Notamacropus eugenii: one gene and its partners. The protein of the gene in region 1 binds, or shares a complex with, the protein of each later gene. Links are inferred from orthologs where the notes say so. Each region holds a gene or a part of one and is shown in the gene's direction. Other genes may lie near its edges. The genes, in order: RNF113A, GPKOW, BCAS2 and SNRPD1.

The links.
Region 2: RNF113A (region 1) and GPKOW share a complex: the UniProt entries of both Homo sapiens proteins name them as parts of the minor spliceosome. The link is inferred for Notamacropus eugenii from reciprocal best matches to the Homo sapiens genes RNF113A and GPKOW.
Region 3: RNF113A (region 1) and BCAS2 share a complex: the UniProt entries of both Homo sapiens proteins name them as parts of the pre-catalytic and catalytic spliceosome complex. The link is inferred for Notamacropus eugenii from reciprocal best matches to the Homo sapiens genes RNF113A and BCAS2.
Region 4: RNF113A (region 1) and SNRPD1 share a complex: the UniProt entries of both Homo sapiens proteins name them as parts of the minor spliceosome. The link is inferred for Notamacropus eugenii from reciprocal best matches to the Homo sapiens genes RNF113A and SNRPD1.

What each region holds. Positions count from the first base shown.
Region 1 is NC_092879.1:43,546,183-43,552,175, reverse strand, and holds RNF113A (E3 ubiquitin-protein ligase RNF113A), read left to right. Parts: upstream 1-4,309; 5' UTR 4,310-4,399; coding exon 4,400-5,449; 3' UTR 5,450-5,490; downstream 5,491-5,993. Other genes in the region: NDUFA1 (NADH dehydrogenase [ubiquinone] 1 alpha subcomplex subunit 1), read right to left, coding at 4,042-4,143. UniProt on the Homo sapiens protein: Required for pre-mRNA splicing as component of the spliceosome. As a component of the minor spliceosome, involved in the splicing of U12-type introns in pre-mRNAs. E3 ubiquitin-protein ligase that catalyzes the transfer of ubiquitin onto target proteins.
Region 2 is NC_092876.1:17,503,713-17,511,313, forward strand, and holds the start of GPKOW (G-patch domain and KOW motifs-containing protein), read left to right. Parts: upstream 1-4,588; 5' UTR 4,589-4,620; coding exon 4,621-5,925; 3' UTR 5,926-7,601. UniProt on the Homo sapiens protein: RNA-binding protein involved in pre-mRNA splicing. As a component of the minor spliceosome, involved in the splicing of U12-type introns in pre-mRNAs.
Region 3 is NC_092873.1:293,879,155-293,886,541, reverse strand, and holds the start of BCAS2 (pre-mRNA-splicing factor SPF27), read left to right. Parts: upstream 1-4,373; 5' UTR 4,374-4,648; coding exon 4,649-4,741; intron 4,742-6,752; coding exon 6,753-6,845; intron 6,846-7,387. Other genes in the region: DENND2C (DENN domain-containing protein 2C), read left to right, coding at 95-181, 1,224-1,255. UniProt on the Homo sapiens protein: Required for pre-mRNA splicing as component of the activated spliceosome. Component of the PRP19-CDC5L complex that forms an integral part of the spliceosome and is required for activating pre-mRNA splicing.
Region 4 is NC_092875.1:245,365,737-245,372,943, forward strand, and holds the start of SNRPD1 (small nuclear ribonucleoprotein Sm D1), read left to right. Parts: upstream 1-4,189; 5' UTR 4,190-4,386; coding exon 4,387-4,400; intron 4,401-4,605; exon of another isoform or gene 4,606-5,583; intron 5,584-7,207. UniProt on the Homo sapiens protein: Plays a role in pre-mRNA splicing as a core component of the spliceosomal U1, U2, U4 and U5 small nuclear ribonucleoproteins (snRNPs), the building blocks of the spliceosome.

The sequences.
Region 1 (5,993 bases):
CCTTCTGCATCCAAGAAATGATGCCCTTCTATTCCCACCTTTGTCCATTAAAATTCCATGATGCTGCCTATTTGAGAAACACTATCCTGCACAGGACACAGGATAGTATATTTAATCCTTCAGAGTTTTACTGGGAAGCCTGTGAGTTAGGACAAATGCACTATTCTTCACTGTGCCCATTTTACAGATGAGGAAACTGAGGTAAGAATGGTGAAATGACTTGACCAGGGTCACTGAGCTACTGAGTGTCTGAGGCTGGATTTGAACTCACGTCTTCCAGAGGAAATTCACCCTGGACTTTTTTCTGTCCCTAAGCTACAGCTTTGGCACCCAAGAAATGATACCCATTTATTTCCACCTTTGTCCATTAAAATCCCATGAGTCTCCCTAATTGAGAAATATCCCCCTGCAGACCAAAAATAATATGACATTTAAGGCTTCAAGGTTTCACTGGCACCCCAGTGAGAAAAGAGAAATGCATTAGTCTTTACTATGCCCATTTCACAGATGAGAAAACTGAGGCAAAGAGGCCGAAATGACTTGCCCAGGGCTACGAAGGTAGTAAGTGACTTAGGGTGGATTTGAACTCGGATCTTCCACAGGAAATTTTTCTAGAACTCTTTTCTGTCCCTTACCCACAGCTTCTGCACCCAAGAAATGATATCCTTCTCTTCCCACATTTTCCATTAAAATCCCATGATTCTCCCAGATTGAGAAACACCACCCTGCATGTCACAAATAATATTACACTTAATGGTTCAACATTTCACTGCAATCCCATGAGATACAGTAAATGCATGGGCCTTGACCATGCCCATTTTAGAGATGAGGAAACTGAAGTAAGGAGGGTAAAATGACATGTGAAGGATTATTTAGCTACTCAGTGTCTGAGGCTGGATTTGAACTCAAATCCTTCTAAGGAAGTTCTTTCTCTACTGTCTCCTGCCCCTAACATACGGCTTCTACTCTCAACAAGTGAATTACTCTTTACTGGGCCCATTTTATAGATGACGAAACTGAGGCAAAGAGGGTGAAATGACTTGACCAGGGTCATTTAGCTACTGAGTTTCTGAGGCTGGATTTGAAATCATGTCTTCCAGAGGAAATTCACCCTGGACTTTTTTCTGTCCCTAACCTATAGCTTTGGCACCCGAGAAATGATGCCCTTCTAATCCCCTCCTTTGTTCAATAAAATCCCATGACTCTCCCTAATTGAGAATCATCCCCTTGCAGACCAAAAATCATATGACATTTAAGGCTTCAAGGTTTCACTGGCATCCCAGTGAGAAAGGATAAATGCATTAGTCTTTAGTAGGCCGTGTTACAGATGAGGAAAGTGAGGTAAGAATGGTGAAATGACTTGACCAGGGTCCTTTAGCTAGTGAGTGTCTGAGACTGGATTTGACCTCAGGATACAAGTAATATTATACTCAATGCCTCAACGTTTTACTGGCAACCCTGTTAGATAAGTCAAATCCATTGGTCATCACTGTGCTCATTTTAGAGTTGAGGAAACTGAGGCAAGGAGGGTAAAATGACATGCCCAGGGTTATTAGGCTAATCAGTGTGTGAGGCTGGATTGCAACTCAAATCTTTCTGAGGAAGTTCTTCCCCTACTCTCTTCTGTCCATGACCAACAGCATCGACTGAAAAAAAATGATACCCACCTATTCCCACCCTTGTCCATTAAAATCCCATGACTCTATCTAATTGACAAACATTCTCCTGCAGAGCAGAAAAAATATCACATTTAAAGCTTCAATGTTTCACTGGAACCTCAGTGAGATAGGATACATACTTTACATACATTCTTTACTATGTCCATTTTATGGATGAGGAAACTGAGGCAAAGAGGGTGAAATGACTTGCCCAGGGTTATTTAGCATGTTACTGTCTGAGGGTGGATTGGAACTCGGGCCTTTCTGAGGAAGATCTTGCTGTACTGTCTTCTGTCTATATTCCACAACTTCTACTCTGAACCAATGATATCCATTCATGCCCACCATTGTCTATTAAAATCCCATGACTCTCCCTAATTGAGTAACATCCTCCTGCAGACCGGTAAGAACACTACATTTAAAGCTTCACGGTTTCATTGGAACCACAGTGAGATAGGCTAAATGCTTTAGTCTTTATTATCCACATTTTACAGATGAACAACCTGAGAGCCTGAGTCATTAGGTCACTTGCCTTCCCTCACTGGAAATGTATGAGAAAGGGTTTGAACCCAAGTCCACTAATTCTATCACTCTTTCCATTATGGTGTCTATCAGTCCATCAATGAGCATTTATAAAGTACCTACTATGTGCTAGGTATTGTGCTGTGTTTTCAAATAAAACAGTTCTTGCTCTGGAAAAGCTCACATTCTGAGAGAAATAGCATGCACATATACAACCCACCCTAGACTCTCACCTATCAACTATATTATATATGAGGCAGTAACAAAAGCTAAAAGGGACAAGGAAAGGCCTGAAATAGAAGATATTTTGGGTAGGATTTGAACCAGTGGTCTTCTAGAATCCAAGTCCAGTACCCTATCCACTACACCATTCCACCCTCTCAATAGACGTTGTAGATTATATGACATCTGTTGTTATTTAACTGTGATCCCTTCTAAGGGTAGGTCTAGTATCTGACTCATCTCTGTATCCCCAGCACCTAGCATTGGCCCCTGTACACAGTAGCTTAATAACCGTCTGCTGAATAAATGGAGTGAATATAGTTTGTGGGAAGTAGATGGATTCTCTCCTTTCCATTTGGCCTTGAACCTCTCTATCTTAATCTCTATTTCTTCTTGCCACTTTCTTTGTATCTTCCCGTGATTTTCCCACTCCCTTCCACAGCCAGCTCAGGAGCTCCTTTGCTATTACTAAGAGCCCTTCAGCTGTCTTCTTTTACTTAAAAAATAATTTACACATTTATATAGATATGAATATTATATATTTACATATCACTTTCATTTCTGAATGTCCCCCAACCTCCACCTCTACCTAGTGAGCTATCCCTTATAAAAGAGAACAGGAGGGAAAGAAGAAGCATATTGGCAAAAACTCACATATCTAAGTCTAACAATAAGTATAGCAAATGCTCCACACTCATAGTGAGGGAGGGGAGATAAAAAGGGGATGAGCATTTATACAATTCCTACTATGTGCCAGGAAAAGTGGCTAAGCTCTTTTAGAAATATTATCTCATTTGATCCTCAATGGCAAGCCTGGGAGGTAGGTGCTACTATTACCTCACTTTTACAAATGCAGAACCAGGGCTAGCAGGGGTGAAGTGACTTGCCCAGGGTCACACAAATAATAAGTATCTGGGATGAGATTTGAATTCAAGTCTTCCTGACTCCATGCCCAGTACTCTATTTATTCACTTCACTGCCTCAGATCCCCTATCTCTGTAAAAAGGGGGTTCTCATTTTCTCAGGCAACCAAGTGTTGCCTCCAACATTCTATTTACATTACAGGAAGGGAAACCAGAGCTTCTCCCTCAGTAAAATGGTATTTTGGCCAGAAACTAAAGAGAATACCCCTTTACTTGGAACAGAAAGGACTTACTTTCTGGCATGTCACCTGTGTGAGGAAGATGGAAAGCTACTAATGGAAAGGGCACTGGATTTAGAATCAGAGGACTTGAGGTTGAATCCTGTAGGCCCTTGGATATGTCACTTCACCTCCCTAGGACTCAGTTTTTTCCTCTGTAAAATGAAGGGGGGAGGGGTTGAATTGGATAGGCCCCTGGGTCCCTTCTAGTTCTAATTCTAGGATCCTATGGGTGACCTGAAAGAAGTCCCTTCCCTTCGCTGGGCCTCAGTTTCTTCCTCTGTAAAATGAGGAGGTTAGACTCGATAGCCCCTAAGGTCTCTTCCAGCTCTAGAGCAAGGACCCTGGCCAATTCCCTTCCCCTCTCTCCTCAGTACGGATTGGCCTCAAGGCCAGCTCGAGATCTCTGGGTCCTTTCTCCAGTCTCGGAGCCGCCCCCGGGCTGAGGAGCCCAAGGAGACCACCTCCGGGTCCCAGCTCAGGTTTGTGGGGCCCTACCTTGCCGCCATTGCTGTACTTTTGAATAAGCGCGGTGGTAATTCCCGGGATCGTCAGACACACGCCCATCACGGCCAGTCCCGGCAGAATTTCGAACCACATCTCGAGAAGAGGCTCGCGGCCACAGACAGTTTAGACACTGTTACGACGCCGGTCGCGAGATAAAGGTGACATGAGTCACTTCCCGTCCCAGCAACCCCCGCGCCGCTCCACCCCGCCAATCAGCGGCGACGACCAATCAGCGCCCGCCGCCGTGCCGTGCCCCGCCCGCTAGTAGCCTCTTCCCGACAGGAAGTGACGCCAAGACAGGAAGTGAATCGTTGGCATCGCGGAACTTCGCAGTTTCAGAAAGATCAAGATGGCCGACGACCTGTCTTCTGAAGCTCCGGCTGTGCCGGTGTGCACCTTCCTTTTCAAGAAGTCGGCCCGGAAAGGCACTGCGAGTCGCCGGAAACGGCCTGCCTTCGAGAAACCGTCGGGGGAAGGTGGCGGCAGCAGCAGCAGCAGCGATGAGGGCAACGTGGTGGTCCGGCGGCAGAAGAAGCGCCTGGTCCCCAACCCCATGATCCAGAAGACGCGCGGCAGCTACCGGGAAAAGAAGGCGCCCACCTCTTACAGCGGCGGCAGCAGCGGCGGCGACGACGAAAGCGAGCCTTCCACCGTGAGTGTCGTCTATAAGTCCACACGCTCGGCCAAGCCCGTGGGCCCCGAGGACATGGGCGCCACTGCCGTCTACGAGCTGGACACAGAGAAGGAGCACGATGCACAAGCCATCTTCGAGCGCAGCCAGAAGATCCAAGAGGAGCGACGGGGCAAAGAGGATGATAAAATCTACCGGGGCATCAACAATTACCAGAAGTACGTGAAACCCAAAGACACTTCCATGGGCAACGCCTCATCCGGCATGGTAAGAAAGGGCCCCATCCGTGCTCCTGAACATCTGCGTGCCACGGTGCGCTGGGATTATCAGCCCGACATCTGCAAAGACTACAAGGAAACCGGTTTCTGCGGCTTCGGAGACAGCTGCAAGTTTCTCCACGACCGCTCTGACTACAAGCACGGCTGGCAGATCGAGCGCGAGCTGGACGAGGGTCGTTATGGGGGCATCGACGAAGACAACTACGAGGTGAGCAGCGATGAGGAGGACCTGCCTTTCAAGTGCTTCATTTGTCGTCAATCTTTCCGGAACCCCGTGGTGACCAAGTGCAAACATTATTTCTGCGAGAGCTGCGCCCTCAGTCACTTCCGCACCTCACAACGCTGCTACGTCTGTGACCAGCAAACCAACGGGGTTTTCAACCCAGCCAAGGACCTCATTGCCAAGCTAGAAAAATTCCAGGCAGAAGGGAAGGCCGTCATCTCCGATCCCTTAGAAAGCTCAGATGAAGGTGCAACCCCCATTACTTAAACCTACCGAATGGTAACAATAAAATCTCTCTCAAAGTTTAACATGAGTGGAAATTTCTGACTCAAGTGTCGCGGGGTTGGGGAGGGGGTGGAGGGACGGATGAGAAACAATGGGGAGGTCTGGATTACCTAGTGCCCATGAGGTACCATACTAAACTGGAATGGGGGAGGGTAGGCATAGGGAGGAGGGAAGACTTGGAATGCTTGGTACCCATTCTGGCTAAACTGGAGTAGTGTGGGAGAGGCTTGGAGTGCCTGGAGCCCATGAGGTACCATACTAAACTGGAATGGGGCATGGGAAGGGGGAGAAATAGGTATAGGGAGGAGGGAAGGCTTGGATTGCTTGGTACCCATTCTTCCTAAAGTGGGATAGGGCAGGGGAGGCTTGGATTGCCTGGTGTCCATGAGGTACCAGACTAAGCTGGAATGGGGGGGGGGGGTAGGCATAGGGAGGAGGGAAGGCTTGGATTGCTTGGTCCCCATTCTGGCTAAACTGGGGTAGTGTGAGGGGGGCTTGGATTGCCTGGTGCCCATGAGGTACCAGA
Region 2 (7,601 bases), on another chromosome or scaffold:
TGATGTCATTTTGGTCCTCTTTGAAGGTGAAGGACAACAACCAACCAACCAAGTGAAGATCTCATCCCTAGGAATTATAGAAAGGAAATTGGACAAAATCTTCAGAAATGATCTGAATTTCTCCCGAGATGGACACAGCATTTTCTAGGTGGGTTTAGGGAGAAGGGAGAAAAATTACCCATCATCTTAAAAGAGATGTTTTCCCTCAAGCAAGGGAAGATTCACAATTCTCTCTGGCCTCTCCAATATAGGCTTTCCCTAGTCTCTCCAATAGAGTTGCATAAATTCTTGAGAAGCAGAAAAAAGCTGGACTTTGTTTCTCAGTGTCTTGTGCCCCTTTTCAGCTCCTGGGGTCCAAAAGGAGATGGGAGGAGTAAGCTGGTCTCAGAGTCAAGAGCTGATCCCTGCACTTCCAGCTTCTCTTTCAGAAAGCCTGGGAAAAACAAAAGCCAAGGATCTAAGTTCAACTGGAAAGTCAGAGATAGCACCTGCTTGGATCTCTCATTTCCAGCAGCTCAGACAACATGAGTATTGTAAATATGAGAGAAAGCAATCAAAGCCCTCCCCATTCTGCTTCCTTTGTAGGGCATGAGAACACACTTTGGTTCGAAGGACGCATGACAAAAACCCAGCAGGCAAAGTCCCCATCCAGGCAAACCTGTACCTGACCAAGAAGTCCCTCACCTACCATTTCTCCTAATTAGTGGGTCAGATGATGGTTGGCAAGGAGGCACCTTCTACCTCCCAAAACAACCCAGTCCTATTTAGGCTAACTCATTGCAAGCCAAGTATGGGTTTGGTTTAGGGAAAAGTTTTCTGCTTGCAGCACCCGTGTATGGCCCCTAATTCTACCCTCTAGAGCAGCTTAGAGCAAATCTAATTGATCTTTCCATGACAGGCCTTCAAACACTAGAAGGAGACTCTTCTGCCTTCTTCAAGCGTTCATTTGGCTTGTGGTCCTATCCCCCATCGAAGAGCTTACTCACTTCTGGATACTCTGAATGCCATGCAAACTTTAAAGAGAGATAGCATTGCTCAGCACTTGGTCCACAGTCCGTTTTCCTAAGCACCCTATAATTGTCACATGAACTGTCTCCCCCTCCAGCCTGCTGAAGACTTAGCAGTTTGTGTTCAGGATATGGGCCTTGTCTCTGACAGAGGATAGAAAACTTCACAAAGTGAGACCCCATTCAAACCAAAGCAGCAGATTAGAGTTCAGGGCTGGGCTGACAGAGGGCAGAAGCCTAGAGCCTCCAAAGCTTGAACATCAGTCTTAAGATGCTATATTTCCTTTCTCATTTTAGCACTGGAGAAAGTGAAGGACCTAAGCCCAGGTGATCCAGATGTCTAACCCACCTCTCACACCACCTGTGGGGTCATGGACAAGGCCCTTAATAACTGTATGGAGTAGGTACCATAGGTATCCTACCTACTTTACAGTTAAGGAAAATGAGATTCAAACCCTCACCATCCAAGTCTTGAATTTCATGTTACCTAAACCCTGAAAAAATCCAGGTAGACTGCAGAACCCAAGACTTCCTTGCCCAACACTCCTGGATGGCAAGTCAAGACTGGGACTAAACAGCTGGTTTTGAGCTGACCCTGTAAAGACTGGAGAGCATGCAAGGGAGGGACAATTATAAAGTACCCATGGACCACATCATTTGGGTAGAAAGGAAACCCTACAACACAACTTGGGACATGGAAGAGTGAACATCAGCCACCAACCAGACACTTCCCAAATGGAAGTTAGCTCTGTTTCCTTATACCCAACCCTTGGGCAGAATGAAATTGTGATTACTTCCCCAATGATGTTCACTGGAACCCTCAAGTCTTTGCCTAGCTTGGGGATACTCAGAAACCTGGCATAATGAACAAACAGACTGATATGTTCATACAAAGGTTGATTGTGGCTTCTAGTCTGCCATCTCTCCAAAGGTTAGAGATGAAGGGGTCCTTCCAGAACGTTCTAATTCAACACTCACTTCCAGAGGGGGAAATGAAAACCCAAAGAGAAGAGTAAGGTGCTCCAGTTAATAGAGGATAGAGCAGAGACCAGAACCAGCACCTCTGTACAAGTGTGTACTGCCTTTCCATGATAAGAGCAACAACTCTTGTTAAATTGTCTATGAAGTGATTGACAAATGTTTTGTTCCAATAGTGAACCTAACTGATTCTGAACTCTCCCTGAACTCTGCCCAGAACTGAAGGCTACTCTAGAATCTGAAACATCATCTAAGCCGTAAGTGCTGATAATATTTACTATAAATATTAGACTTTAATAAGGGCCAAAGCTCGAATTAAGAAGAGTCTGGACCTAATAGTCTCCCTTGTTATCTTAAGTAAACTCAGAGAATGTCTTTTTGTCAGAGAAACAAATAGGGCTGACTTAGTAATTTCCTTAGGAGACCCTTTTCCTGGCATCTTAGTGATAAGGAAAAACACAGATTCCTGGGTTATAATTTCAACTTTGTCTACTCTGTTAAGATACCCTTTCTTGTGTCAGCAACTTCAAGGACCTGTTTAGGACAGGAGGTCTGCCATCAGAGTGATGAGATTTTCTCCTTATCTTATGTCAGAGACACATATGAAAATAGGAAATTCACATAGCTTGGGATCATACAACTCAATTGATACTACTTTGTTAATTATCTTACTAAATTTACAATTTGTCCAACTAAGAGAGTTCCTTTCTCACAGTAACTCACGGTAAAATATATATATGCCAGAAGATTTCTATACCAAGTGGTCAGAATATTTTTCTGACTCCATAATGCATTGTCGCTGTTTTCTTTAAAGGGAATTAATTAATTAAATCGTGAAATGTACGCATTTAGCCTGTTGCCTTTTCTTTAACCAGGTTTTCAGGTCAGCAGTGCATAGCAATGCCCCGACCAGCTATTTAGACAAGGAAGTAAGACCAGGAACAGACGCTGTCTGGCACGTTAGACTCCTGGAGGCTCTGCAGCAGGGAGCTGTCCAGCTTCCAGACCATTGTGATGAAGTCTGTATCTTAGCAGACGGTTCTTCTTCAAGAGCAGCCCAGCTGTGCGGGGTGGTAAACAGGCAGTGACTTGGGCAGGGAGCCCCGACCGAAATGGATGACTGCGTTGATCTCGGGGATAGGGAAGAAGCAATGGTCACCTTTCCAGGGGTAAAAGGAACCAACTCGTCTGCAGAATGGAGCCATTAAAGCAGTAAATATCCTTCAGGGAAGGGGGAACAAAAGTCAGAAATGTCTAGACAGGGGGCAAGCCCGAGTGGGCATTCTCACCCAGCAGAATCCAAAGCTTTTCCCAGAAAATAAGAAAGTTGGACGTTAGGCGGAGGGAGGGGAGGGGCGCTGGGAGGGAGGTCAGAGGGTAGAGTTGCACCCCAGCTTTTCTTTACATTTGTCTGCTTCGCATCCAAAGGGAACGCGCCGTCCTTCGGCCCAGCCTGACCCATGGCTCCGGGCAACAGGGCTGGGCCAGGGGCCCCTTAACCTCCTCGGGGCACGGCCACGCTCCGGGCTGTGACATCATAGGGGAGGGCTCCTGGTTGTTATTCAGGGGACACTCTCCCCCCCACCAGCCTACGGGGTATTGGGGGCGCAGACCCTCCCCCGCTGGTCCAGCGTGGGGGAGACACAGGCCCCCGAGGGCGCTGGGTTTGCGGTGGGTCCGAATCCCGCCCTCGAATTTCCCCTCCCCCCACCCCAATGCCTGGAAACCACCGAGAGGCGTGGCGTGCCCGCAGCTCTAGTAGCCACCTGGATCGTCCACCTAGGGGGGAGGAGGGAAGGGCGAGAGAGAGAGGCGAGAAGAGGGCGAGGCGTTCTCCCACAACCCGGCCCCCATCATCCCCACCACCAGAGCAGCAAGGGGAGGGGGACCCTGCCTTGCAGGAATCCTGCGCATGCGCAGCGACTCCAGCGTGGGTGGGTGGAGGTGGAGAAAGAAAACTACAAGCCCCGGCAGGCTGCGCGTATGACAACACCGTGCCATCCTTCTCCGGTGCCTTTCTTTGCCCAGACTGCTTTGTCGAAAATGGGCTAGACTGTTCTCCCTAGTGCACCGTCCCCCGCTCGTGGCCCACCCTCTGAAACACACATCAAGGAAGGGCATCAAGTTCTCCCGGGTGGTCCCGGTTCAAGCATATGCAAGACGAGGATTGAGCGACTACAAGGCCCAGCAGCCACCGCGCGCTAACAAACGGAGGAGGCTGAACAAACAGCAGACGCCAAGTGCAAGCAGCCCCACGGGTGCAGGGGAGGGTAACTACAAAGCCCGGCATCCACCGCGCACATACCGCCTCTGCAGGTGGGGCCGACTACAAGGCCCAGAAGACATAGTGAGCAAACCCTGGCAGCAGGAGGGGCGAACTACAAGACCCAGCAGGCCTCGCGCACAATCTGCAACTGCAGGCATGGAGGACTACAAGACCCAGAAGGTGACAAGTGCAAACAGCCCCACCGGTGACTGACTACAAGGTCCGGCAGCCACCGCGCACAAACAGACGCTACTGGTGAGGCAGACTACAAGACCCAGCGTGCCCCGCGAGCCAGCAGGAAGAGGAAGGACTGCATAAAGGACCCGGCAGGCTGAGCGCTAGGTCAGTCCTGAAGCTGCGGGTGGCGCGATGGCGCACGGGGATAGTGAGGCGGGGGCCGCCAGCTCCGCGGCCCCTGGGCCTCCGGGCCCGGTCTCTTTCGGCTTCAGCCGCACGGCCAGCCGGAGACGGTTGGCCGAAGGCCGCGAGGGGCAGCCGGAGGAGGAAAAGGACTTCTTGCGGGCCGTGGAAGGGCGGGAGCTGCGCAGTGTGCGGCCGCCCGAGGAGGCGCCGCGGGAGCTGGTGATCCCCCTACTGCGGCGGGGCCACGGCCGGACAGCGGCCCCGGGCCAGGCCGTGCTCCCTGAGGACGGCGTGCTCCGCCAGGCCGTGGAGGAGCTGATCGAGGAGTCAAAGCGGGCCGAGCAGCTGGGCCCGGGCGCCGAGGCCGCCGACCGCTCCATGGCCATCCCGCTCCTGGCCCGGGTTGGAGACGCGGCCGAGGCTCCCGAGTCGGTGGGCGCAGACTACGAGGCGGTGCCCGTGGAGGCCTACGGGCTGGCCATGCTCCGGGGCATGGGCTGGAAGCCGGGGGAGGGCATCGGGCGCACCTTCAAGCAGGTGGTGAAGCCCCGGGAAAACCCCCTGCGCCCCAAGGGGCTGGGGCTGGGGGCCAGCCTGGTCCTGCCCTCGGGCCCCCCAGGGCCCAGCCAGCCCGGGAGCCCCAAGGACGACGAGGAGCTGGTGGGCCTGGCCCCTGGGAGGGCCGTGGTGGTGCTGTCTGGGCCCCACCGAGGCCTCTACGGACAAGTGCAGGGGTTGGACCCCGACAACGCCCGGGCCGTGGTGAAGCTGGCCCCCGCTGGCCACGTGGCCACCCTGAGCGAGCACGTCCTGAGGCCGGTCTCCCGGCAGGAGTATGACAGGCAGACCTTGCGGGGGGCCAGGGACCCCAAGACGGGCCACGGAGGGGCCCCCGAAAAGAAGGGGCTGAAAAGGAAGCAGCCCCCCACGGAGGAGCGGGCCCCCCACTGGCTGCGCAGAGACCTCCGAGTGCGCTTCGTGGACAAAGGGCACTACAAGGGCCGCTACTACAACACCAAGATGATCATCGAAGACGTCCTGAGCCCGGACACGTGTGTGTGCAGGACAGATGAGGGCCGGCTCCTCGAGGGGCTGCGAGAAGATATGTTGGAGACCCTCATCCCCAAGGAGGAGAAGGCCAGGGTCATGGTGGTGCTGGGGCCCCACCGGGGCCAGGTGGGCCGGCTACTGGGCAGAGACAAGGATAAGAGCCGGGCTCTGGTGCAGCTGCTGCAGGAGGGGGAGGGCACTGTCCTGCAACTGGACTACGACGCTGTTTGTCACTACGTTGGGCCTGTGGCAGAGGACTGAAGGGCTCCCATCCATCAGAGGGACCCAGTATCTGCATTTTCCTGGGGTGACTGAGGATTGTAATGTGGCCCAAGACTGGGCAGAGGGGTGTCTGTGGGTCTGTCTCATTGTGCCTTCAGGCCATCTTGGCAGAGCCCCTAGTTAGTGCCCATCATCATGCTTTGGCCCTTTGGGGCAGGGGCCAAGGAGACAAGGGGAAATTACAGGGGCCTGCCTGCCTTCCTTTGGTTGGTTAGTGTTTCTTGTCTAAATAAAAATAAGTTTTCCAAAAAAAATTTTTAATCACTGAGCATTCAGACAGTTCACGGAGGAATAATCACAGTATCTCAATGAAATATTGAGGGGGAAAAATCAGTGCCAAAAAGCTCTTCATTTTTAGGACTTAAGTCATTGAATCCCTGGCCGGTATTCTGGGCCTGGAAATGTTGGTAGTAACGGTCCTTTCAAAATGCACCAAGGATAGCTGTTGGAGAATCCACTGTGTAGGTCTATGAACTGGGCTTACAGGGGTCTGGCTCATATTCCAATGGCATTGTGGGAAATGAGTGGAGGTGCTAATGTTTGAGGTTAATACAAAGTGTCCTTACACCTTCATTCTTACTCAGTGTGTAATACCCCCCACAGAGAGACTGCTATCCTAGGCAGTTCATTACTCTCACTCTCACCTAGTCCTCTACCTATGTTCCTACTGAACTGGATTGACTATCCTCTCATATTCCGCACAGGTAATTCTTGGAACAGTTAAAGCCCACCACCCCTCCCCTACATTGCCAGTACATATGGACCTCAATCCCTACAGTCTCAACTGGATCCATTCATTTTAACCTTGTATGGACATGACCTTGATACCTCTTAGTTCCCATTCCATGGTATCTTTTGTCATAGACATTACTGCCTCTTTGAATTTCCAACCAGATAAATTAGCTCCCACCTGGGCTGTGGTTTCGTGGAGTTAGATGTGCTAGTTGGAAGCTCAATCAGAATAAATCAGAGCCTCCATTTAGGAAGGAATCAGTTGTGAAGACAATCTCCTCTGGAGGAAACTCAAGCGAAAGGTTATCTAAATTGCCACATGTTACCACGCTAGTTTTTTACCCAGTTCGTTCTAAGGGTGGTTTGAGAAAAGACGAGCAGAGAGAGGCATTATGTAGCCGAGAAGAATCCCAAAAGTAATGAGGCAGACACTAAGGGCCGTGTGACATTTGAACCCAATGCTGGGTGTGAGAGGAAGGGGAGAAGGCAGGAAGGGGAAGATGGTCCATCTCAGCTAAGTCATGAGGAGCAACAGGACCGTTGGAAAACTGCAGAGATTTGGAGGTTTGCTGTTGTAAATGATGGCCATTGTGACCTCTGCCATCTCACCTGGTACACACAGCACCTGGCACCTTATGTTTCCCCCATTTCCAGTGGGAATCCAAATTAACCACCTACTAACTGTTTCTTGACCTTCTTAGAAAAGAGAGGAGTGGTCTGTTAAGGGCCTTCCAGGCTCTAGCCCCAGGAAGCTGGCTTGCTGCATGAACTGTTGGCAATTTGCTAGCCTTTCCATGCCTATGAGCGTATTCCTATTGAAAAAAGAAAAGTTATTGGTCACAAAAATCCTTGTTGCACTGGCTTGTGGTGTTGACTCAGTGATGGTGGGCCTTTGCTTAGACAACAATCAATTTACCCTTTTA
Region 3 (7,387 bases), on another chromosome or scaffold:
ATCTAGCATGTTCAAAGAAAGGTAATTAAGTTCTCTTGCATTAGTTCAGTGTTTGAATGTAAGTTGGTTTCAACAATATGAATTTCCCTCGTAGGCCTTTTTGAAGTCCGGGCCATTCAGTACTTGGAAGCAATTCCAGAGTCTGAACCCAGTGGGGTGAACAAGATCCTTCGAAGTCTTGGTAAGTTATTATGTTTGTATTAAGTATGGTTAGAAAACCTTCATGATGCCACAGTTCAAAGATACCATAAAATATTGAGATGCATAAAATGTCTAAGTGCTAATAACCTAGAAAAGCCTTGCTAATGATGTGTCATCCTGTTAAGACAACTCCCTAGTTCCTGAGTCCTGAAGGAGAAAAAACATCCAAGTAGTTGTGAATTTTTCCCTTTCATGCCTGGATCAGTTGATCTTTGCCCAAGGTGGTCCTCTGGGGACACCTCCTTCAGACAGCTACTTTTGCCCTACCTTACAAACCAAAGGATTAACACCTGAGTATAGAAGGGACCTAGCACAGAACAGGAATTCTTGTTTCTAGACAAATCTTAGCTTAGTCTCCAAATTTAAACAATATTATTTTCAGATTCCTAGTTGCTTGTAGTCAATTCTTAATTATCTCCATCTATGGAAGAGCATACATGGAACTGCCAAACCAAAATACCAAATCACACCTATCCTCCGAAAAAGAAATACATTTTTATTTGGTTTTGGAATATATATCCCTAATCCTAATCCATACTAATCAAACATACTTTAAGTCACTTCTTTTCCTTTATAAACCAAGGTAACAGAGTAGATAATCTAAAGAGATCCAAGTGTTTAGCACAGTGCCTGGCACACGGTAGGCACCGTAAATGCTTGTTCCCTTCCTCCTTCTCTTCTAAAGTAGTGATTATTAACCTTTGTTGTCATGACACCTTTGGCAATCTGGTTTTTATAGATAGCTTTTAAAAATATTATCTAAATATTGTGAAAAACAATTGCACTGACCCAGGTTAAAAATCCTTGAATTTACAAAGATCTTTCAGGTCTAAAATGCTGATTCTGTACTTAGTTGGGCAAACGTTAGAATTTGTGTTCTAAGAACGCAGATCAATTGACAGACTTATGGACAAGCTTACCTCTGCACTTGGCAGAACTGAATAAACAATGAGTAAATATTAGCCTTATAGTAGATAGAAATGAGTGATTTAAGAGTATCCTATGCTTACTTCTTCCCTTAGGAAATAAAATGAAATTTCTGCAGAAGAAATGAAAACCTGAATTTCTGTACCTGAAATGAAACAGGAAATGCTATCCAGGTCCAGGTACCAGGATGTACTTACTGACTAGGATTCTATATAAGCCTTGGAAAAGCTTAAAAGGTTCAAGGAAGCAGTCAGTCTGAGGATTTTACCCAGATACTGACTTTGGAGTCACAGCTGAATTCTTGAGGGTGGTCTGAAATCAATGCTGTCTTCATTTTATATCCAATTTTTTTGGAAAGAAAACATTTCTACTTCTTAATATTTAGGTTCATTCTCTGGTGCTTGGACTATAGGGAATTTGTTTTTCTCAAGAAAGTCTTGTTAATGTTCAGTTAAAATGAACATATTAGGCGAACATGAGCCTTATGGTAAATTTTAGGGTAAGTGGGAATGGTGGGATGATGTCCTTCACTGAGTTCTATGGCAGCTTTGATTGGCCCAAGCCAAATATTATCTTCATGTTTTTGTCTGATGTTCTTTTTTGTGGGATCCCACTCAGGTGGGTAAAGTCCTACTTTTCAACACTTTTTACTTACAGGATAGGCATCTTGTAGTCCATTCACATGGGTACTCAGCCCTGTGAGATCATGGTTATTAGAGATGTTTCCTATCAAACTAAAATGAACCAGTGCCACTTTCTAGCCCTCAGGACAGGGGACTCTGTACCCAGCAGAATGACTCAAAATTTGGGTTTCTCCTTAAACCTTGTGTTTTTTGCTATGGGAGAGCTGAACCTCATGGAAATGTAACCTCATTCTAGGGTCATACCACTTACCTACCTGGACTCTTGGTACCCAAAGCAGTGCTTGTTTTTGAATAGAGTGGCATTTAGTAGCACTATGTTTAATTTTCAGACTCTGGAATCCATCCAATATGGATATATTTAACTGGCACAAACATATTTATTCAAATTTAACAAAATTTTAGTTTTTCAGAATAAATTTCATTGCTATTCTCACAAGCAATGAACTTGTGTCAGTTAGTTTGTTGTGTTATTCTGGCAAATTAGGATCTGCCTTCGCTGCCTAATCAGGTAGCTTATACCTGTATAAATCTGAAGCAGACACCATTTGATGGTAGATGTTGTATAATATAATTCCTATAATCTGGGCCTGGAGAGGAAAGCTAGCCCTATGTCTGTTTTAAAATGTATAGTAAGCATCTTATCCCAACAGGGCCCCTGTTAGATTAAACATCTGTCCAGTTGCTCCCTTCTAGAACTTCACCCCTTTGCTGTTCCCAAAGGAATCTCTGATGGGAAAACAGAGTATTAATAAAATGGTGGGTGTGAGGGTGGGGGGAAGAAAAACTAAGTTAAATATAGCAGGCTGGGTCCTGTTGGTCCCTCTGTGAGGAGACCCCCTGCCTCAGGGATGGGGTCCAATGTTATGCCCTTTAAATTGAGGATGATTCCTTGAACTGTTGTATTTTATTTTTGTAAAGTACTATGGATCATGGGTACGTCTGTGATAGCAGAATTGCTCAAGATTTGTATAAAAAGTTGTTTACAGATTTTATAATGTTTCAAAAAATAAAAACATTTAAAAAGTCATTTTTCTTGAATGGAATAAAAGTCATATGCTTTTGAGAAGTGTTTTACTTTATTTAAGTACAAAATAGTTGTGCCATGGAATGCCTGAAGCCTGACTTTTAAGATCATAGCTTTTGGAGTAGAGAAAACCTGAGAGTTCAGTTAGTCTAATTTCCTCATTTTACAAATGAGGAAGGTAAGGTTTAAACACACAGGTAGTAACAAAGGCAAAGTTCAAACCCAGGGTCTCTTACTTCAAGCCCAGCATTCTTTCTACTATACCTAATACACACTCCTCCAGCGAGCCTATTTCCTTACTTCAAATACCAATTCCTGCCTCACATAGGACCTCTATGTTGTACTGCCCTCTTCTCACCTGGAACCCAGAACCATGCTCTACGCAGTTGGCACAGTGCTGAATGAATGAATACTCTTACAAATGTTGTATGGTAGAAAAGGACCTGGATCTGAAGGCACAAGATCTGGCTGCGGGTAGGACTTTTTTGGCCCAGCTTTGTGTGCCTTGAGAAGCCAGAAGCCATCTCACCCACTGGCAGGTCTGAAAGACTGGAGGTCCAGTAGCGTATTCAAACTATGCCAGTACGGATGGATAGTCTCTCCAGGAATCGCCGGATGCAGCATCTGCAGAGTGCTGGGCACGTGGTTCCGTGTCAGGGTTTGTCAGCGGGATAATCCCTCTCGTTCTGTTATGTTGTCTGCAGCAGAATGGGCATAGAGGCCATCACACCGGTAACAACATCACATGCTTAACTTCCCAAGGATTCAAGGAGGAACATGCTAACGACGTCCGGAGCGCTGACGAACTGAGTGCAGACGGAAGCAAGCTTTTGTCACTTATTTTTACTTTTTTCTGTGCAACACGGCTGATACGGAAATGTTTTGCACGATTTCACATGTATAACTGCCATGGTGGTGTTGGCTTCTCAAATGGCTGAGGGACTGGGAGAGAGAGGGAACTGGGCACTCAAAATGTTAAAAAATAGATGTTAAAATGATTATTTTTTTTAAAACGGAGGCAGCAGGCCTCCATCCCAACCTGTAAAAACGAGGTGGACTTGACGAACACGGATTCTTTCCTGCTAGGCCGCATTAAAGTCCCACGTCCCTTTAAGCTACAACAGTCTTGAAGGGAGGGAGGGTCTCTCCCTAGGCCCACCTCAAAATCCTGCCGGGGAGTTGTGTCTACACGTGACAAAAGAGATGCCGGAGGAGACTTACACTAAGCACGGACACGGAAACACGGCCTGGATGGAGCGGCATAGAGGCCCACTCGGTGTCAGCCCCTTCGGTCCCGATGCGAATCTAACGGGGCTCCTCGCGTGGCCCTCTGTGGCTGTGGCCGCAGAAAGAACTTGCTACAAACCTGCTGCTGCTGCTGTCACTTCATCAGGTGCTGGGGAAGAAAGAAATCGGTACCATGGAGGAGAAGGAATTGAGAAAAGACTCGGCGGAGGCAGGTTTAACCTCTGACCCCACCGGAGTCCAGCTTCTCGCGGAGCATGCCGGGAAAAGAGCGTCTAGCGCCTCACCTAGACGTCGAGTCACGTGATTCGTGTTAACCGAAGGGGCGGGGCTTTTTTTTTTTTTTTTACGTCTCCGACTTGCTTTCAGTGGACACATTGAATCAAAGAGATTTGAAGAATTCATATCATCCCCTCACATGAGCTTGGGGAAGTCGGGTCGAAAAAACGGGAGAAAAATTCCTGGCAAAAGGTCAACCCTAATTATTCAGCAACTGCATCTGAGCACGCGCGAGAAGACTGCGCACGCGCACGATCAGTAACTTCCTCAACGCAGGCGCCAACGGCTCGACCTGGAGGCGTGCGCTGCGAGAGGCTGAGGCCGCAGGATGGCGGGTACTGGCCTTGTGGCTGGAGAGGTGGTGGTAGATGCCCTGCCGTACTTCGATCAGGGCTACGAAGCGCCTGGCGTGCGGGAGGCGGTGAGTATACAACCCTCCCTCCGACCCTGCCTCGTCCCCTCACATTTACAAAGCGCCCCAGTACTGTCGGGTCCCCGGTCCTCCCTCGCTCCCGGATCTCGCTTCTCCTGCCGGCGAGGCCCGCCCCTTCTCCGCTCGCCCCGCCCCCGCTCCCAGCCCCCCCTCCCCGTGGGGCCCTTCTTGGCCCTCTCCCTCCGCGGCAACTTTCCCGAGTCCGCCTGTATGGCTTTTCTCCCCGCAGAGTTGCAGGATTCGTTGCTGTTCTCTCCCCAGACCTCCGTGGGCTTTTGCGGGCTGCTCCCGTGCCTGTAATTCAGTCTTCGTCTCCCGCTCTTGGCTTCCCCCGCCTCTCTAGCTCCCAGTCAAAATAGCAGCCTCTCCCAGTCCTTCCCTCTCCCATTTATCCCTTAGTTGTGCACAGTGCAAATTACAAATAAATATGTCTGAATTCGTGCTGTATATACAAACATAGGTGTTTGTGTGTTGTCTCCCAAATTAGACTAGACTGAGAACAGGGACTGGTTTTTTGCCATTCTTTGCATCCCTAGCATCTTATGCATAGAAGATGCTTCATACTTTTGATTTGACAGGCTTTAAAGTCCTTCCTAAAACTTGGCATTACCCTACCTTTCCAAGATTATGTTACGTTGTTCCTCAACATACATGCTGAGATCCAACCAGACTGGACTTCGATTTTTGTGATGAGGTACAGACTCTGGGAATCTCCTTGAATCTCCCCACTTAACCTGGCCTTTCATACTCAAATCTGTTGCCCTTGGCCTGGCCTGGCCTTCCATTATCTCTTACCTCTGGATTGCCCCACCTACATCCCACCCAAGCCCTGCATTGTTTGATATCTCCCAATTGCTTCCAGCTACTTCCCACCCTGGATTACTTCACTAGTTACCCCAGTCGCATCAAGATCCTCTTTAGACCCTCCCTCCAGACCACTAGACCACCTCTAGATCTTTCCTATGGACTTTCTGTATATGAGTTCCATCTCATCTCTATGAAGGCGCTCAGGTTCAATCCAGCACAGACTCTGTCTAGCTGAGTTTCTTTCTGGACCGCTGGTATTGATGGGTTAGGCTCCTTAAGAGTCAACCCAAGATGGTGAATCTTTAATAAACTTTGCTTTTCTGACTTTAACAAGGCTTGTGTTGAATTCATTCAAGCAGGTCTCAGGTGTCGGTATTAGGGGGGGCCCCAGCACCCCTGAACCTCAACATTTGACCAACCAGCAAATTAGTATTTTTAAACACATTAGTATTTTAAGCACAATTTGCATACTAAGAAGAAGCAGCTTGACTTAGATAGACAGCCAGGAAGACCTGGGTTGAAGTTCTGCTTTTGACACATAGCAGCTGTGTGGCCCTGGACCAGTTGCTTAACCACTCAGTGCTCTACAACTCTAATCCTCTAAATGCAGAGGAGATGTGGAGCTTCATTGGAGCCTTATATTAATGAAGTCACAAATTTAGTCAGAATCCTTTCCTGGCTAGGCTTTTTTTTTTTTTTAAAGAAGAAAAGAATCCAGTATCAGGAATGATGAGAAATGGATTCCCGTAGAAAGGCAGTGCTTAAATTGAGTATTGAGGGGGGAAAGCGATTCTGAGAGGCAACAGAGCAAATGCTTTACAGCCCAAGATGACAGCCAGTGCAAAGGCTTAGAGAGAGGAAACAGAGCAAGAAGGTCTTTGCCTGGGCCACAGAGTGCTTATGCCAGGGTGGAGGGGCAGGCCAGGGCTCACTTTTGGAGGGTTTTAAAATCCAAACAAAGGAGTTTGTGATTGGTCCTAAAGATGATGGAGAAAGTGTACGGTTAGAAAATCCCTTTGACAGCTGCATAGATTTTAAATAATAGAGATGATTTTATTTGGTGCTCTTTCTGCTGCAGAATTATTTGAAATGATTTCTCTAGAAACACTTGCTTTCTCTTTTTCTTTCCTCCACTTCTCTTTCTTTCTGCCTGCTACATAAACTCCCCTGAGATTTTTCCCATTTTCCTTAGGCTGCTGCCTTGGTAGAGGAGGAAACACGTCGGTACCGGCCAACCAAGAATTATCTGAGTTACCTGCCTGCTCCAGATTACTCAGCTTTTGAGGTGGGAGTGGACTTTTTGTCTTCCTATCTAGAAAAGTGCTAGGGAACACAGGACAGAATCCCAGTTTCCTCTTGTTGATGATCATTGTTGTAACTTGTGAATTTCAGCTAACCAAACTGATTATGTTGTTTATGGTTAATTTTACAAAGGACAGAATTTCAGAAACATTTTGTAAATATCACTACTGAGGGCATTAACACAAGAGTGTATTTGATATTCAGGTATCTCTTCTTCAACAGTTACCAAAATAAAAAGTTTTGAAAATCACTAGCCACCAATTCTTCCAGCTCTGATAGAAGTCCTTCTTTGTAAGAAATTAGTGACTTAGGGAAAACAAATGAACTTTGGTCTAGCCAATGTTTGAAAATGTGTTGTAATTGTAATTAGTCATTGAATTGATCTAGGTTCTGAAGTATTTCAAAGTTGTTTTAGTTTATGGTATTCTGGTCAGTATGTAAATTGTCCCATGTTTCTGCTTAGTTTAGTCTGTATGAGTTTATACAAGTCATCTCAAATTTCTCCAAAACTGTCCCTTTTGTCAT
Region 4 (7,207 bases), on another chromosome or scaffold:
TGAAGTGCTGCCTGACAACCTCCCTTTTTGGAGAGTGTCAGGCAGAGACTAGACTAGATGTCATTATTTGTCAGGTATGATGCAGTCTGGATTTTGTTTGTCCAGATTGAACTGGGTGGCTGTTGAGATTCCTTCCATGTCTCAAATTCTGTCATCCCCTCCAACAGCCCTGATCCATTAGCTCTCCTCTAAGTTCATCCTGTGTGACTCAGGTAGACCAGAGTTCTATTTCTGCCTCAGTCACTTAACGGGCTTATAGAACTCAGCAAATTACTTAATCTCTCAGCCTCAGTTTCCTCATCTGTAAAATGAAGATAGCAGCTACTTCAAAAGACTGTTGTGAGATTCAAGCATTTTGCAAAACTTTAAGTACTATATCAATATTAGTTACTACTATTATGTAAAACTAGAAAATATCAATAAAAATTTAAAAAAGACAAAATGTTGCTTTTAGTGAATGGAGGTTGACCCAGATGTCATAAAATAAATCATTACTTCTAAATTAAAATACATGTTTTGCATATTATAGGGGACATTTTAAAATTTCTTTGGCTAAAATTTCAAACACAGGGTCTACTGCTTTTCAAAAGCCAAGTATTTTGGTTGCTCTAATCTCTGTTTACATAGATAATATAATGGCATATCCAGGTTTTTATCTGTACTTGTTTTATCTTCTCATCACATTACATTTTGGGTTTTATGGAATGATTGTCCATAATTCCAACAGAGGAATATAGGATAAGGTAACCCAACTTATAGTTAATATTTGTCTTTGGGGAACTGGAATTTATTTTCATTATAAAGTAGAAAAATTAAAATTTGGTTTTCCTGTCCTAACTTTTAAAAATACATATTCTATAATCATTCAGAATATTCCATTAATTTTTCCTTGAATGTATTAATTCCCTTGTTTCATGAGTTGTGTTGGTTGGATACCTGTAACAAATTTTTTGGAAGACAAGGTGTTTCACAGATAATACAGAGAAAGACACGGGAGTTTTCGGTCTCTAACAGGTTCACTCTTAATCTGGTCAGACAGGCAGACAACTTTGGAGGGATTAATAATCAGCTTTATTCTAGTCTAGTCTTCTCAAATGATTGTTGGGAGAACCAGCTCCCACAGCATTCCTTAATCACCCTTCTCAAAGGGAGTGGTGGGGGCAACTACCCCTAGTCTCAGCGGGGTCAATTGAGACAGGGATAGCTTGTTCACTCTCTTAAATCCCCTCAAGCCTCAATGGGGGCTGGTTGAGGCAAGTACATGTATTCCTTATGTATGTATGTGGTTTTCCACTCATTGCCCACTGCCCACTTGCTTCATAAAGCACTAGACAAAGAAGGCATCTTTCCAACATTAAGCTCACAGGTTAACTTTAGCAAAACTGTTATTCTGCACAAATGTAGTAAATGTCACATTATGTTACCCCTTATCTCCTGGAGCAGCCTCGGTAGGCCTCTCTGTCACTATGATTCTGAGAATTAATATCCTTGGGGTTATTCTGGGATTTATTTTCTAACACCTGGAAATTAGACATTCCCATGGCCATGGATCCTGAGAAACTAAACTAAAAAAAGATAACAAAATCCTCCTTCCATATACATGGACAAGAGCCACACAGGATAAGCCAAAATGAATGATTTCCATCTCTGTCATTAGGAGGAATACTCTCATCAATAAGGCTTCTATTCATTTGAATTCAATCCATTTTCATAGTATTCTAATGTAAAATGATTATCTTAGTAAGTTCCCAGCATTCTTTTGTACATGGGGTTATATTCCACCCTATTAATTTATTCACTTCCACTATGCAGTGGGACTATATTTAGTCCTGTTATTTTTACATTTCTTACTGCTGATCAGCAAAGCATGTGCTGTACATAATCAAGGTTTTATATGCCTCTTAGATCCTAGGATACAGTTGAAAGGGACCTTAGAGATCATCTAGTCCAAACCCATCATTTTATAGGTTCTGTCCTTTTATGATGCAGACATTTTGGTGACTGAAAGGAGCAGAAAAGGGACAATTGTGTATGAGCACTGATAAAAATCAGCTTGAGAGGAAATGCAGCCCATCAGATAAAAGTACTAGGGGAGAAACAGAGACTTTTCTAAGAGGACCAGATAGAACAGTCTCTCTTATGCTGAAGCTGGGGATGGCTAGAACTCATTGCTATCCATCAGCTTATTTACATATGACAATTTTCAGTATTTTGAAGGAAACAGGTGAGAAGTTATAAGAGCAGCTTGTGAACTCTGGGAAAATCTTCAGTTTGTGCCATATCGATAGAATTGTGGATTTTGTTTTTTTTTTCAACCTGAATCAGAGATGGGGCACTACTCATGAAGAGCGCCTGATTAAAAGTCAGAAGTAACCAGAGAAAAAGCAGGAGAAGGGGACAGAAGACTTAGAAAATGACAAGGGAAGCAGCTCAAAGAAGATATAAGGAAATAACAAGCACTGAAACTAGCTAAAAGACATGCTTTGTAGTTGACGCAGGGAACTATTTGATTGGAAGAGAATGCTATAGCTATTGCAAACTGACTGAAGAAAGGCAGAATCCTCTTATGTAAAGAAGCGTTCTGGGTTTATTGCCTTTTACCAACACTCCTAGCCTGAGAGGGGAAACCTCTCATATTGTTACTGTTCTCTACCGTTTTAGACGGGGAAACCCTAAATCCTACAAGGAGAACAGACCTCATTAGTACAGCTATTTACATACTTAAGGGAACTGTGTTTCAGGAAAGAATGTAATATATGTTGCTAAAAAGAGCATCATACTTTTTCACCATCCTTCCATGAGTGACAACTCACTAAAAGAGCTTCCTTTAAGTCCCAACTAAAAATCCTTCTTTGGGAAGTCTTTCCCAACTCCGCTTAATCCCGATTCCTTCCGCCTTTTACTTATTTTCTATCTACGTAGCTTGTTTGTATATAGTTATGTATCATTTTCCCAAATTAGATTGGGAGTTCCTTGAGAGAATGCCTTTCTTTGCATCCCCCGTGTTTAGCACAGTGTCTAGTGCATAGTAAGAACTTCATATATGCTTGACTCACTAATATGCTGAATTTTTCTTCCTTTTAGCTTTTGCTCCGTTTGCTGTGTCTAGAATGTTCCCTTTCTTTGCTTGCTGAATGCCTGACTATCCTTTAATGGCTTGCTCCAATGCCACTCTTTCCACAGTCTTACCTGATCCTCTTCCCTTCTCACCACATCCCCATTACAACTTTTATCCACCTACTTTAACAACCGCCCCTTCTTTACACCTTGGGGCACTGTTTTGCCACTCTGTGCATTACCTATCCCCCCACTCTCTATGCTTGCCTACATCTTCCCAGGGAACAAATGAAACTTCATTAATTCAGACCCCACTGCAGTAGATTTGTGTAGTTAGACAAAAAGCACCGCTTTCTGGGTAAAACTTCTGAATTAAGTGGCTTATCTTCCCCTGCCCACCCAAGGTGCCACAGTTATAAATGGAGATAGATAGCTTCATTCCCTAAAACACAACCCCATACATTTGCTTTTTTCAAAATTCAGCTCTTCATGAAATCTTTTGATTGATTTCACTTTTGCCTTTATTCCCAGTGCCTAGCAGTAACTGTTACTTAATGAATGCTTGATGGATTTAATTTTAATATATTGCAAACACAGACTTGTTACGAATTACATTTTTTCAATAACTAATATCTACTCTTTTCACTTGTTTCAGTCCTTTTCAGTTATGTCCTAACTCTTGGTGACCCCACTTGGGGTCTTCTTGGCAGAGATCCTGGAGAGGTTTGCCATTTCCTTCTCCAGCTCATTTTACAGATGAGGGAACTGAGGCAGACAGGGTGAAGGGACGTGCCCAGGGTCACTCAGCAAGATGATCCTTCCTGACGTCAGCCCAGCACTATCCACTCTGCTACCACGTACACACATGTAAGTATGGGCACAGATCCATCAGGCACAGTTCGGAAATTCCAATAAATGGGATTCCTTCTTTAAGATCAATTACAGAAAGCACTTGTTTTTGCTCAACTTATCCAAACTTTGGCTTTGTGCATCCCGGGCAAGACGGGAGTATGACCGATAACCTGAGGTTTTTACTAAAGAGGAGAGAGACATTGCTTTCCCCCAAGACCAACAGTGAACATCCCGGCCGAGCTCTTGCGGACATTTGCACCGTCGCCCTCCAGGGGGAGCCGCAGCAACAACATGCTCCTGGAAAGTACCCGCTCCCCCCGCCTCAGAGCCGTCTCGAGTTTTCCTCCAGTCGGGTTTTCTACTTCCGGTTCTCTTGGTGGAAGTGCTTCCGGCCATTCATTCCCTCAGCCCCTGTTAGCGCCCTGGGGTCGTGATTTTGCGACCTGTAAGACCGAAAAGTCGACGGCTCCGTGAAGGATGAAGCTCGTGAGGTGAGGAGACGGCGAGAGCGCCGGCCGCCGCAGTAGGGTCGGGTTTGGAGGTTTGTCGCCAGACGCCGTGCGGCCAGTCAGAATAGGCGCCAAAGTGGCGTGTGCACGCGAGATAGGCCGGGACAACGGCGGCCCTTCCCCGCCCTCGGCCCGCTCTCCCGCCCGCGCGGCGCCTCGCGCTGCGGCTCGTGCCCCGAAAACGACCGCCCTGGGCGGGGCGAGGCTTCCCTCCTCGCGACCGGCGTTGTGCGGCCGTTGTCCGACGGGGACTCGTGGGCCTGGCCGTTAGCTTCTAGGCTCTCGCGAGACGCCGCGGCGCGGGTCCTGGGCCCCGGGCCCCGGGCCCCCGGCCCCCGGCCCCCTGCCCTCGCTTCTGGGGCCCTTTGGTCTGGGCCTTTCTTAACCCTGTTCCAAAACCGTCTGACCGCTTTCACGTGGTGGAACCGTAGGGTTAGAGCTCGAAAGGACTTAAAAGACAGGGGGCCCCCTCGCCTTGCCATTTTACGCTTGAGAAAAGTGAGACCTATGAATGCCAAGTGGCGTCCGGCTCCTCCGGCGCTAGGCCCAGTATTGCGCCTTCCGCTTGGACCCCGGGGGCAGGGCCTGGGAATTCGGGGGCGCGGCAGCGGGCAGGAAGAAGCACCTGAGAAACGGACGGGGGACCCCCTGGGTGGCTTGGCCTTTGTGTTTTCTATCGGCTAAAGCCCGAAAGCCGAGGCGGGGTCTGACTACTAAAAACGTCAGTTCCTTCAACTGGGGCCTTTACGGAACTTTACAAAATGCCTGGGCCCTGCGGTCCATTATTTGGAAACCCATTATACCATTAGATGTCCTCTCCTTCCATCTTTGGCTGTTTCTACCCAATTCAGCATTTCCCACAGCCCACAACTCCTTAGAATCGGATAAACTTAAAGGATTAAACTTTACATCAGATGGTTCCAGTTAAAGTTTGAAGGAGTCATTGAAGCCAGCTTATTACTCTGAGCCAGCCGTAGTATTCGAAGCACACACGGAGAGTCGGGGTGTACCAGGTTTCCAGATCCCAACTCTGCACTGTTGGGAACTATAAAGTGCTACGACAGGTTTTATATTTAGCCAGTTTCTCCTTGTCTTCTAGCATTAGAGCACAGTAATTGCCTCTCAGCTGCATTTAAAATGATTGCTACATTTCCTTAAGATAAAGGTATGATTCAGACTAAAGCACTTAACTCTGAACCCACTCAGATGTAGAGTAGACTAAGGGGAATTTTCTTTCAGCTTTAGAACTCCAATCTTGCTTGCCCCTCGGAAATATAGAGGATGCTTTTGTCTAAGATATCTTTTAAAAGGAAGAAGACAGGGTTCAATTCAGGGAATTGTGCAGTAGGGGAACTTCATTCAAGAGAGTAACTGAATAAAATCAATCTGAAAAAATATCATACAAAAATTTCTATATTTGCCAACCCTGGAAGTGGTATGTATAAGTTCTCTGTGTCTAGAGAAATGGGACTAAGAATCAGAATTTGAAGTTTTGGAATGTAACTTTTGTATAACTACCCAGACTCACTCAGATAACCAGATGTGGCATTTGTAGACCTCTTTTGCAAGATGACTGTGCTTAACATTGCCCTTTCTGCTTACTTCAAGCTTTTCATCAGTCAATAAACAATCATTTATTAAGTGCGTTTTACTAGGCGTACAAGGCAAAAAAAAATCCCAAGCAGACCCTGCCTTCAAGGAGCTTATACTATACTGGTAGAAACCAATATGTATCCAGACAAAAATGATGAAACTGCCCTTGCAGTAAAAGGGACAATGGCACTCTACTTGTATTTAAAGAATTTAGGTGCCAGTTTATTGCACTGCCACCTCTGTCTGCATGCTATTGGCCAACTCACTTAAGCTCTGTGAGCATCCATTCATTCATCTGCAAAACACAGAAGGTGGACTAGATTTCCTTTAATGTTCTTTACAGTTCTAGATGTATAGTTTTTTTAATCAGATATGTGAAATTTAGTGTTACATGGAATATTCAAATGGATCTTTAATTGGGTTAGATGTTCCCTTAGTCTCTGCAGATTACAACCACCATTCCTTGTTGGTACTGTATACCTTTTGTCAATGTCATTCCATAAATTTGACGGTGTCTAACCATTATACTAGAGATCTGTAATGATGGGGTACAGATTCTGGGAACCCCCTTGAATCTTCCCACTTAATCTTTTTTTCATGCCCAAATCTGTTACTCTTAATCTAGCCTAGGTCCTCCATTGTCTGTTGCCTCCCCATTGCCTGCTGTTTCCCACCCTTGATCACATCAAAATCCCACCCTCTTGGTTCTGACCTCTTGTCACCTCAGTCTCAGCAAGATCCTCCTTACATTCTTCCTCACGACCCTCCCTAAACCCCTCCTCCCATCACCCCAGACTACTAGACCACCCCCAGATCCCTTCTACAGTCTTTCTGTAATTAAGATTCTTGTCTCCTTGAAAGTGCTGACATTCATTCTAGCTCAGATTCTGTCTGGCCTGCTTGCGTGTCACAAATCTTGAGGATTCTTAAGAGTCAACCCAACATGGTGAATCTTTAATAAACTTTGTTTTACTTTGGCTGAAAGAAGGCTTAGGTGAAATTCATTCAACCAGGATCTAGGATGTTGGCATTTTGGGGTCCCAAGCACCTCTAACCTTAACATTATGGTTCTTTGACCTCAATATTACTAAATTTCTCCTGACTTAAAAAAGGTGTTGGAACACTTTGAGCGGGGGTGGAGAACTTGTGTCCTCCTGGCTAATTGTGGCCCTCTAGATCCTCAAGTGCAGCCCTTT